Linked DNA regions of Arabidopsis thaliana. The protein of the gene in region 2 interacts with the protein of the main gene of each other region in a biochemical or structural test. Each region holds a gene or a part of one and is shown on either strand. Other genes may lie near its edges.

Region 1 (4,143 bases), on a different chromosome or scaffold from region 2:
TTAATGTAACCGACGAAGAGAGGCAAATAAGGCGTGAAGAGATATTATCTACAAGGTTAACAGCATTCTCTCATTTTTGCTTTAGCGTATATACAAATCAATTTATACAACTTTTTCACTTTCCACATAATGGTATGCCGCGGATATCCTGTGGGGATTTATGAAATCCTTGGGGACAATGTTGTGATCTGAGTTTTGTAGTGTTAGGAGTTTAACGACTTCTTTGAATATTACCAAATAGCCAGTTGCAATTCTTCGACATAGTTATTATCAAACAGATAAGAAAAGTAACTTCCATTTTATCCTTTTTCAGTTTGAAGGACTTCAAGGAATTCGCAGAGGCAATAGACTCTGTTAGTGATAAAGGCGTTGCAGTGGCCGTGGCATCACAAGAAGACATTGATGCAGCAAACAGAGAACGCTCAAATTTTTTCGAGGTGAAGAAAGCAGCTCTCTGAGTCTGAGACCCTCTTAGAAAGTAGCTTGTCACAATGAGGAATGACTCTTCTTAGGTTCACGGTACGACGCATCAAATCTCTAAGCTCGTACTTATTTGTGTTTTACTTCACTGTGTTTTGTATAGTTATATATGCCAACATCATGACTTATCACAGTTGAAATTTAGCATTTTTACCTGAAAACACAGGCTTTAGCTACTGTTGCATTTGAGTTGTTACTTTTTTGGACAATTTTTCTTTCGTTTTAGCCTTTGCTCTTTAAGAACTAAGAATCCTAGTTCTATTTATATTCCATTATCGTATCAAGATAAGCTCTCGAGGATTTTCCTGTACCTTTTAGGTTATAAAACCAGTTTCGTTTGATTCACATTTTGTTGAAAATGATGAGTCAAAATAGACATTATATTCATCATTGGCTGGGATCGGATCGAACAGTGCCTGTTCTTGTTAAAACAAATGGCTCTCAGTCATACAAAAGATGCATCTATTATTCATCATGTGTCGTGATCTTGTTATTGTCATACTATCTAATGTGACTACTCATGCTTCATTTGTTTTTGTTTGTGTTTTTGAAGTAGGTCGTAGGTCTTAAACATTTCCAAGTGAAATTGAAACGCTTATTCTTTTAGGACATTGGCATCAAGATCTCTATGTTACTTTTATAAGTGAATTAGTCTTTAAAGTTACTTTTTATTAACATTGATTCATAAAGATAACTTTTGTAAATTAGCCCATAAACAAAGATACTTGTATTGATGAATCTTCTTCGTCTCATCCTTTTACCATTATCCTTGAAAATTCTGATTACATCATTATTATGGATGAAAATTAACGAAGAGTCTTCTTTTTTTTCTTGTGATAAATTTTAAAATTATTGAAGAAGCAGAATCGGACAATTGAAGCCTAGATTATTTTTTATTTATTTTTTGCAAAATGAAGCCTAGATTCTAATATTTCATATTTTCGATATTGTACATGTGTAACTTTAAAAAAAAAAAAAAAAAAATCCCAAGTAAATGCTTGTTAGCACAATTATTATGTAACGGTCAATTATTGCTCATTATTTCACTGCCAAAAAATAACGAAAATGGTCCCATTTTATTAGAAGGAAATAAACATGTTGTATGTGTAAAATTCTTAACCCATTTTTGGACATGTACAGATTCCATGTAAAAGCTGGATTTTAAGTTGGTTTTTTGTTGTTGTCATTTAATAAGTACTATTTAATTGATTGTATTTATAGTTCTGTCTCCATGTGAAGCTGCTCATAAGAAAGTGAATGCTTTAGACTCTAATCTATGTGCCTAGTTATATCCTTAAGAAGTTGATATTTAGAGCTTATGATAGAAATTATGAATCAGCAACCATCAGAATTATTTTTTTTGTTTTGACAAATGTATTTACGTGTAAAAGAATATAAGTTTAAGAAATCTATAGTAGAAAGTAGATTAATTAACAAAAATTACTGTCACAACTCACATTTCTACAGCTTATAGGACGACGTTTTAGTTTTGGGTTGCTTTAAAAGGAAGCTAAAAACGGCAAAAAAGACGCGTCGTTTAGAATCCCGACGGCGTCTACGCTCCGTAACGACGCCGTTACCTGCTTCCCCGTGAACGGGACTCAGTTTAAAGGACCCCACTCAAAACCGGCACAACAACGGCCCATCCGCTATAGGCAAGGCCCAATAATTAAATCTCAGCCGTTGAATTAATCAACGGCTCTAGATCCTTCATCTTCCTCTCCCCCAAATACCCAAAACCCTTCCTCTGTTTTTATTAACCAGAGAAACCCCAACTTTTTCATAAACTCTCTCCAGAGAAAACTATAATGAGCTTGAGAGAAATGAGCGAAACAAAACCCAAGAGAGATTCTGAGTACGAAGGATCAAACATCAAGAGGATGAGACTCGATGATGATGATGACGTTTTACGCTCACCGACGAGAACTCTTTCTTCTTCTTCCTCTTCTTCTCTGGCTTACTCGGTTTCAGATTCCGGAGGTTTCTGCTCCGTCGCGTTATCTGAAGAAGAAGACGATCATCTAAGCTCAAGCATCAGCTCTGGTTGTTCCAGCAGCGAAACTAACGAAATCGCTACTCGTCTTCCATTTTCAGATCTGGAGGTGAAATTTCGAAACTCGAGATTACAAATTTTGAAATTTCTCTGTTTCACAATAAATGCTCTCTGAGCAAGATCTGATTACGTTTTTTTGGATTAATTAATTTTGTTTCCGTTTTCAGGCTCATGAAATCTCCGAAACCGAAATCTCAACGTTACTCACCAACAATTTCAGGTTAATTACTAAAAAAGACGTTTCAAAGATTTTTCAATTTCTTCATTGTTTCGTCTATAAATTCATAATTTTTGGAATTTCACAGGAAACAGGGAATTTCATCAAGCGAGAATCTGGGAGAAACAGCAGAAATGGACTCGGCGACGACGGAGATGAGAGATCAGAGAAAGACGGAGAAGAAGAAGAAGATGGAAAAATCACCGACGCAGGCAGAGCTTGATGACTTTTTCTCGGCGGCGGAGAGATACGAACAGAAACGATTCACAGAAAAGTGAGTCTTTTTTAGACCCACACACACGCGCATGATAGCAGAGATCCTTAACTTGCAGTTGTTTAAAACATGTATAGGTACAACTACGACATCGTCAATGATACGCCGCTTGAAGGTCGGTACCAGTGGGTTAGTCTGAAACCTTAGAAGCCATGGAAGAACAAAAAAAAAAAGAAAAAGAAGAAGAGACAGTGCTAAAGTTACACGTCCTAGTACTGTGATTTTTGTCACAGACAGAAGAATTTTTAGAGACATTTCATTGTACAGTTTTTATCTAATTTTAATTTCATCATTATCTTCATCTGTTCTTCGTACCAAGAGTTTTTTTTTTTAACTAGAAGTGTTAACATATATTTGAGTTTAATTCTCTCTGTCTCGGTGATATTGTTGGATTGTTCAACAAAAAAAGTGGGGTTACAACAATTAAAAATTGGAATTATTGTGTCAGTAAAGTTTCACTAATTTTTGTCAGTTTTGTTGTAGTGAATTTGGTGTTGTGCACATTATTAGTATTTTCATGAAATTGGGAGGATTTACGTATTTATGAATTTGGAAAACTATTTATTGTTTTGATTCTCACCTTGGATGTTTATAGAAATTGTTTTTTTCTCTTCTTTTTGTTGCTTGTACTTTATATGCTATTTTATAACTTTTTTATTTTTCTTGTTTCGACAATTGTTTTAGTGAAACAATAATGGTAATAGGAAGAAGAAAATAAATATAGATTTTAAGGAAAATGGGTAAAATTAGAAAACCATAACGGTATATATATATCATACACTTGGTATGTACTTTCTCTATAGTTCGAATGAATATTCCTCTAATTTCCTTGAAATAATTTATTTTATTATTTTATCAAGAAAACTTTATGAACAAAGTTGAATGTTTATTTATCAAAAAAAAAGAAGCAAATTTGAAAGCTTTCTCGATGATTGACGTTTTTTTTTCTTTCTGAAATTTAATTTTCAAATTATAAATGAGCTTTACGGCAAAAAATTAAAACTTTAAATGGCAAGAATACAAAAAAGGAAGAGAGAGAAGAGAATAGAGAGGATCTCATCATTACCTGATTCCGTTGGGATTATATTCCCTTTTTTTAATTTTCTTTTCTTATTTTAA
Region 2 (8,241 bases):
TACAATCAATCAAAATAAACTACATAAACATACATTATGCAAAGAAATTTGAGAAAATTAAATAAAATACAACAAATAAAACTTATTGAACCAAAATTTTATCAGATTTTTTTAGTTTAATGAGATCCTATAAATTTGGATTTTGAGAGTATTAAGTGAACAAAAAAACAAGTGTAAGTGAACCTAATTACGAACCGGGTAACCGATTTACTGGTTTAACCCACCAAATCCGCTGTAATTCCAAAACACACTGTTGAGAAAAGTAAGAACCCAAGCGAAACAGAGAGCCTTTAAATAATTTCCATTTCATTCTCATATATACAAGAAAAAAGAGAGGCCTAGAGATCACAAGACCAGGTCTACAAAATTATCACAGACCTTTGTTTGTTTGTGTTTTTTCTTATTTATCCTATAAATCTATATAATCCTTCTTCCTTTGCTCCCATCCTAAAGATCTTTCCTTCTGTGTCTACTACATCAACAACCTGTAACCGCAACTAACCCGAGCTTCATGTGCTTCTTTTGTGACCATCATCGTCTTCTTCTTCTTCTTCTTCTTTATCTCTTATAACATCTATCACCGTAGCATTGCAGAAAAAACATCTCTGACAGTTGAGAAGATGTCTAGTTATGCAGCCATAACATGATCGATGTGAACACGGAGCAATCATTGCATTAGCCTCCCCCGCGTAGCAGATACAGCAAGTGTTGTCTTCTATATCTGTCGTGTCTTTGTTGAATGACTCTTCTTTTCTTTCGGGTTCTTGCGATGAAGCCCGGTTTATGAGATGGCTCAAGAAGTTCTCAAGCTGTCCAAGTTTCTTTACATAGGCATCATCCCCGCTTACACAACCGTCCTGAAAATGTTTTTGAAAAGCTGTGTCAGTAGGAGAAGCAAACGAGCAGAAACTAGATTTAAGAGCTTACGTACCCAATTATATTCCAAGAGATACTGAAACCCGTAATAGACTGTATCGGGACAGTCCATGCTTGCGAAAAGACCAATTACATCATGTTGTTGCTTTGGTTTTGAGTCTTCACTAGCCTCCAAGAGATTCAAGATTATACCAACCAAAGGAGCTAATAAGATCCCTCGGCTAACTTTCTCTGAAGGTTGTCCCTGCCGTCTAAGTGACCTGACAGATCTCAAAACAAGAAGAAAACAATATCAATTAAAAATTAGCGATTTCCAACAAAGTTAGAGCTATTTGGGATATTTTTGAACTTACAGATCAAAGAACTCGTCATCTACTGCTGAGGTCATGTGATTCAAGATGAAAAGAATCAACTCAGTGAGCCTACGAAGATTCGTGTCAGTCCCAGCAAGAAATGCTTGTGGCATTGCGTAAGTGCAGAATTCTAAGACCCTTGCGAGATTGCTTGAAAGCTCAAATATCACACAACATTTCCTTTGCTGAAACTCCATTACCTGCATAAAGACAAGACGAATCAAAAACCGGACAAAGAAGCAAATAGAGTACTACAAAAACTTGTAAGGGAAATGCAGAATAAGAACCACAATCATTCAGGGAAAACTATTCAATTACTACGAAAACTTAATCGATGAAAATGATCCAAGCTTATAATCTGACCTGATACTTTTCTTGCATTTCTCGCACCGAGACAGAAAATTCAGTGATGGTCCAGCTCAGTGTGTTGAATAGACGGTTAAGAAAAGTAGAAAGTAATTCACCATCATTGATACAAGCATCTCGTAGAAGCGCCTAGACGAAAAAGAAAATCAAAATCCAATATGTAGACTGAGGATCAGATAGGAACAAAGTCAAATCAATCTAACCAACCTGGAAAACAGTAGACGAAAACGAAGACTCTCCGTTCTTTAAAGAACTAAACCCAGAACCTTTGCAAAGACGAAGAAATATATTTGTGACAGGGATCCAAGATCTGTTGTCAAACGCTGCCAGTAGTGCTGCAGGCATGTGTCGAGTAGCTGCCTCATTGTTCTCGAAAGCTTCCAAGTACTCTTTGTACTGTACCAGGACGGATATTGACTGGAGAAGTAGATCTTTAAGATCTGTATTCGATATCCTTGAATCGTTGAAGTGTGTAACTACGAAAGTGATCTGGAAACCCAAGAATTTGCAATGACCATGTTAGAGCTAATCAACTAACAGTCAGCCATGAGGAAAAATAACAGACAAAAAAGATTGTGTGATAAGAGTTTAGGCATACAAATGATGAAAGTCCTTGTTTGATGAATGTTGTTGATGGGACAAACGGAGGATCGCTCTTGCGAAGCACATGGAAACAGTCTACCTGAGGAAATAATCAAAGAGATTGTAAACTTAGGGATTTCATTGAGAAACAGAGAAAACGCAACAGAATAAGTTGTTGGAAGATCTACTAACTTTGATCAAAGAGAAACTGAAACATGTTCATTTGACATTTATATCAAGAAGTACCAGAAATGTGCAAAAGCTGTTTACCAAAGATTCAAGGTAGAACTCTGGAATATAAACAAACACAGAATCCATTTTGCTGAGAACCAGAAGTAGCTGTACAACCCACATGCACAATGCATACATTCCCCTTTGCTTCCATCGAGAGAACAATGAGATGCGGAACCTGACAAAATGATTCAGAATGAGGGCAAAAATATAGATTGTAATGTTGCCTCACATGAATCATAACTGAAACCTCTTCACTACACCCTCCTTCTGGAGTTAACGCAATCCATGAGTTAAGTGAAACTTACCATGCGGAATGTCTAACACAGTCCATCACGTCTTCTTTGTAGTTGTTGCGAGCTTCCTTCAAGCGCTTTATTTGGTCACAAGAAGCCCGTTCTCTTATCTGTTTATCAGTTTCTTCAAGAAGTGATATTGATTGCGATTGGTGAGACATGTAATATGATGCCTAAGAAAAGCAGAAAGAGAACCTATCAGCCTCTCAAGCTTATTCAGGTTGTGGTATGTATCGTACAAAAAATACAACAAAATCTAATTAAGACGGGAATAATTAAAATTACCTGCTTAAAATTTGGAGCAACAGCAATATGGTATAATAGCAATAGAGCATCCAATAGTTCTTCTTCGCTTAGTATAGCAGATGAGATTCTACTCTCTTGAAGTGCAGTCCGCATAAATCTTACTGGACGATAACCAAAGTCAGGGTCAGACTGATTACTTGTGCTAGGTTTGTCGTCTATTTCTTCACTGAAACTTCCAGCACTACATTCTGCAGCAACATGAGAGGATCTCTCAGGAATGGAACTGCATCGACCACGAGAACTTTGAGCAGTATTTTTTCCTCGATCCTTCAAGGATTTAGTAAGATCGGTATCATAAGCTAAGCAACAGCATGGCTTTTGCTCAGTCGCGTGAGTTACTCTATTCTGTTCATCATCCATACAACCTTCTTCCCACCGCATTATTTCTTCTTCTTGATCATCTGTGGGGTAGGACTTCGATATATGACTAAATAGCCCGCCAAGCCTAGTAATATCAGCGCGATGTGGATCATTTTTAAGAAACAAACTCAATGGAAACTTCTGCTGACCACCTCTGTGAAGAAAACCAACATTGTGATGGACGGCTTCACTACTCTTCAGCATTGCAAAACCTTCTGACAAGAAGTGGAGTATAACTGAGAACAAAGAGACAAGAACCGAATTGCGTGTAACTCCAGAAGGGGCCAGAGTCCTATCTGCGCCTCTGTTCTTCAATAAAAGGTTCTGTAGGAATCCCCTGAAAGCTGAACCAGGAAGCTGGGGAGGTGATACAGGTGGTATGAATTGTATGACCAAGAGACAGAGGTTCCTCTGCTTCTCCTCAATCTGAATTCCAAGAGAAAGAATTACTTAATTATGTTCCTCAGATTCCAGAGGAGACTTATGCCAGCGGTTATTTATAGAAAAATAAAATAAGTCAGAAATAACCTATCATACCTTGTTAATGGCTTCAGAGAGAGCGGAGATCGTAAATCCCATGCTACTCTCGTAGGATATATCTTCAGAGGATCCAGGCCACCAAACAACAGGCATTAAGTGCTGTAAGTCATGCTTGTTGGAACTCCTGCATGACAAGAAACCTTCAAACAAAAACTCGAAATGCAAAGATCTCCACCATTGTACCATCAATTCTTCCCGTTTAAACAAATGACAAGCCAGCGCCAGATAGGGATAAGGTCCGGAGTATGGACACTCGGTTAAAATCAGTGTCGCTGTTTTGCAGCCACAAGCCAGAGCGTTTACTACATGCTCAAAGATCAAATGAGATTGTGGGAACTCAAGAAACACATCAAGAACTTTGTCTAAACTTGACGAATCATGCGGTGCTTGAGTTCTGAAAGTCTCCAAGAGGAATGACAGAAATGCACCCCGTCCTAAGTACTCCGCCAACAAAGGGTCTTGCTCAAGTATATAAAAGAACTCATCACATATGGCAGACGAAACAGGGCAAAAGAGTTCTTCGACTGAGGCAAATCTCCTCAGTCGACTTAATGTATCAGCCAATGAGCGGTCTGGCCTATCCAGCAGTCTTGAGAAGCATCGTAGTAGCTCTGTTGCAAATGAAAATCGAGTTGGAGCTTCTTGAAGAGGTTGGAAACCGTCAACAGGGTACTTAAACGGGTAAGCGCCGAAATTTAACTCGCATCTCTCACCTTGGGAGAGAGATATAGCAGGGTAATACCCAAATCCAGGTCCAAGTTTTCTAATACCAGTAAATGCAGCCCCGAGGGAGACACCATTCCTGTAGAAGTAAATCTCATCACAGTTCAAATCTATGCAGCAACCGATGACATCCCCAGCAACCCATGATTGACCATAAGGTTCAGCTTCCTTGTTCCATTTGCTTACCCTTCGACCATCAAAAGCATATGAATCATCAGCATCACCCACACCTTTCTGGTCAGTGAAAGGGCAAGCAAGTGTTGCCCATCCAAGTTGTTGAATTCCCGAGGTCTCTAAAGCGACTTCATACATCCATTTTCCTTTCCAAATACAAGCATTAGCCCTGGCGCTACTGAAAAGTGCTAAGCTCTCCAATACAAGAGGTGGCTTCACAATCCTGATATCACCACATATGCTAAACTCTTCAAGGCCAACAATAGGAGGTCCAACACCATGATGAACTACACTGATTCCTTCTCTCTGACTAACTGAAACATCCAAATCACCATGAAGCTTCGAGAACTGATTCTTAATCACAGCTCTAATCAAGCTACTGTCTACTTGACCATCCAATGGACCAACCGACTTTTCTGCTAAACCAAATATGAATTCGATAGTCCGTTCTAAAGGCCGGTGACCAGAATAATCAAAATGTGGAACAATACGAGCTTTCGAGGAATTTTCTTTAGCATCTTCACCATTCAGTAAAACAGCCAAACCAGATGAAATCATACCAACCCGTAGGCTGTCTTCAGCCATATGGCATTGATTGTGAACCAAACGCGCTTTCAACACAACCAATTACAAGAGAACCAAAGTCTGTATCTATTCAACGAGACCTCATCAGAGACAATTCGAAAATGATTCAGAAAAGCTGTGAAGAGAAGAAGAACAAAAAAAAAAGTAGCATAAGTTTCCAAAAATCAATACTTGAATCAAAAAGCTTTCAAATTTATGTGATGAACAGGGATTAACAAAAAGAGAAAGCTATTCAATTTCAATCAATTAGAAAGAAAAAAACACCAAAATCAGAACGGAAAATTCGAAACTCACCGGAGAAATTGACATGAAAAGCGATTAACCCAGAAGCCAAAATCAATCAATACCCAGATTCTTCAAACCAAAGACGGCGGACTTGTGCTAGGGTTTTTCAAATAAATTAAACAGGAGAAGACTTTTCGCTTCTTTTTTTTTCTTCTTCTTCCTCGAAGAGAGAGAGAGAGAGAGATTTTGCGCCCAATATTTTTGGGGGAACAGAGAAGAAGAATTGAAGAAAGAGAGAGAGAGGAATCAGAAGACCGGTGGCTAACACCGAACGAGCCAATGGATCATGTGGCGTGTGGGTTTTTTACCGACACGTGTCGGTGTCGATGACGTGGCTGATGACGTATTATATCGACGGTCTGGTCTGGTAACTTTTATAGAAGGAGAAGGAGGAAAGTTTACGATGCGGACGGTCTTACGTTTATTTTGACACGTGGCGTAGTAGATGTTAACGTGTTCTTAAATCAAATTACAAAATTACAAAAAGTAAACAACGCTTTTTAATTTTTCTCCTTCTGTTTTCTTTTTTAGTGTTAACATTATGAGATTTGTTTTACTGAAGATATTTCCTGTTATTTGGATTAATCAAAAATAACAAAAAAAAAGGTGCTGTAAAACTTAGCAATTTAAAGGTAAAGTTAAAAGAATGTTAGTATCACCACTAACTAAAGAAAAAATCACAAAAATAATATGGTATTGTTTGAATATTCTTTTTTTTTTCATTTTAGTGTTAGTATTATGAGATTTTCGTGTAAAATTTTTGCTAAAAACATTGTTAAAAAAAATTAGTTTTGTTTATCGCTTTTAAATAGTTATTATTTTTAGTTTAAAAAAAAAAAATATTATTGTTTATTATCAAAGATGATTTGGTTTCGACTACCCGTGAAATTTTCGAATGTGATTACAGTTGTCGAATAGCGTATTTACTGTATTTTATTTAAGTGGATCTAAAATATGATATAATTATGATTAATCTAAAAAGAAATGTAAATTTAAGTTATATATCACTTTTGTAAATAATTTCTCTCGGAATTATTTTTTTTAAGTCCTTAATAATATCTTATGACAAAAAAAAAAATATGAATCTAGTTATCAGGTTTCCTTGGTAAAGAAAAATTTAGATGTAAGTTTCCTATTTGTAGATTCTATAATCATAACGGGTTTCACAAACAATTATAATACTGGTATCATTCGTTGACAAGAACTAATAATAATCTGGAGTTGACTTAATTAGAAAACTTTATTTGTAAATCAATTGTCAAAAGCCATTCGTATATTCTTAATACATTATGCAAATTAAAGAAGAGTGTTACTATAATGTATGCACGAAAACTATTCAAGTGGATGTAAAGACGATTGAAATCGACGGAACGTGACGGAGCAGTTGTTGACAAGTCACCGGAGCTTTTGCAAACTTCCGATAGACACACGACCTTGTCAACGACCTGAGAGTATAAATAATTGAAAATATCAACTCGATCTCTAAACACACCACGTGGAAAGCTATGAGACCACTGTCGGCTAATGACTAATAAAAGAAGTATCGTGCACGTGTTCCACGTTGATCAACAGCCACTTCACTGGCTGATGTCTCTGTTATTCAGATAGTGACTTAAGACGGCATTATATTGTCTTCAAGGGAAATATTAAAACGCTGCGTTTCCGTGTGATGGAATAATTTTGCAACCGTTGCCACTTTTACTTTTGGGAATTTGGTTGAACAGCAACTTGTTTTTTTTTTTTTGGTAAATATTTTTGGTTGAACTTGTCATTCAATGTAGCAAAACTTAGTAAAAATGCTACAAAACATAAAGATTTTCAAATGTGCCAAACCTCAGCTCTATGGACGATTTCCCTGTTCTAACTATACTAAAATGCATAGTTTTGGTGTAGTGATTAACAAAAATATGTATGGAATATAATCATGATGATAATGATAATGGTAAGATTATGCTTTTACTTTTGATTAAAAGCTAGTGATATGATTTGCCTCTTAATTTGAGTAGATGATTTTCAATGTTTGGTACTATTTTCATTGTTTTAGTGGGAAGAAAACAAAGAGATTTGGTGTTCAATGTAGCGTTAGTTAAGTAGATGAAAAGAGATACGTTGATGCTAATGATGATGTTATGATGTTTGATACTTTATATGTTTAATCATCATATTATCATTAATATGCTTTGTTTAAATGGTGATCTTTATGCTCTGTTTTGGCTTCTACTATATATATATGCTGTATTTTTCTATGGGAAAGCAAAGCATAAGTAACGACAGTTGAAGTCCAAGTAAAGTACTAGATTGTTTCATGCCCATTGTGCAAGAGCCATATTTTATTTATTAACAAAACATCCAACTGAGACTGGAGATACATAAAAGCTTGGAACATAATCCACTTTCAAGTGTTTGCTAACCACCGAGTGAGACAATGAACCAATATGTTATCAAACAAATGTGATAAACAAATACAAATTCTCCAATCGATTAGGCAGAACCGCAGCATTAGCTAGTGGATAAATCAAGAGTTCAAGAATCGAACACACAACATTCATTAACTTGTGTCTTGA

The links.
Region 1: the proteins of RKP (region 2) and ICK5 form a complex in vitro, tested with the Arabidopsis thaliana proteins (one study listed by BioGRID).

What each region holds. Positions count from the first base shown.
Region 1 is NC_003070.9:18,364,720-18,368,862, reverse strand, and holds ICK5 (Cyclin-dependent kinase inhibitor family protein), read left to right. Parts: upstream 1-2,118; 5' UTR 2,119-2,288; coding exon 2,289-2,582; intron 2,583-2,700; coding exon 2,701-2,753; intron 2,754-2,838; coding exon 2,839-3,024; coding exon of another isoform or gene 3,025-3,028; exon of another isoform or gene 3,029-3,101; coding exon 3,102-3,171; 3' UTR 3,172-3,527; downstream 3,528-4,143. Other genes in the region: PREP2 (presequence protease 2), read left to right, coding at 1-55, 314-458. UniProt on the Arabidopsis thaliana protein: Binds and inhibits CYCD2-1/CDKA-1 complex kinase activity. May target specifically CDKA-1.
Region 2 is NC_003071.7:9,363,437-9,371,677, forward strand, and holds the start of RKP (uncharacterized protein), read right to left. Parts: upstream 6,026-8,241; 5' UTR 5,687-6,025; intron 5,508-5,686; 5' UTR 5,393-5,507; coding exon 3,908-5,392; intron 3,797-3,907; coding exon 2,990-3,796; intron 2,878-2,989; coding exon 2,717-2,877; intron 2,587-2,716; coding exon 2,448-2,586; intron 2,278-2,447; coding exon 2,194-2,277; intron 2,085-2,193; coding exon 1,803-2,084; intron 1,725-1,802; coding exon 1,593-1,724; intron 1,430-1,592; coding exon 1,230-1,429; intron 1,146-1,229; coding exon 932-1,145; intron 858-931; coding exon 510-857; 3' UTR 1-509. UniProt on the Arabidopsis thaliana protein: E3 ubiquitin-protein ligase that promotes the ubiquitination and proteasomal degradation of KRP1 and KRP2.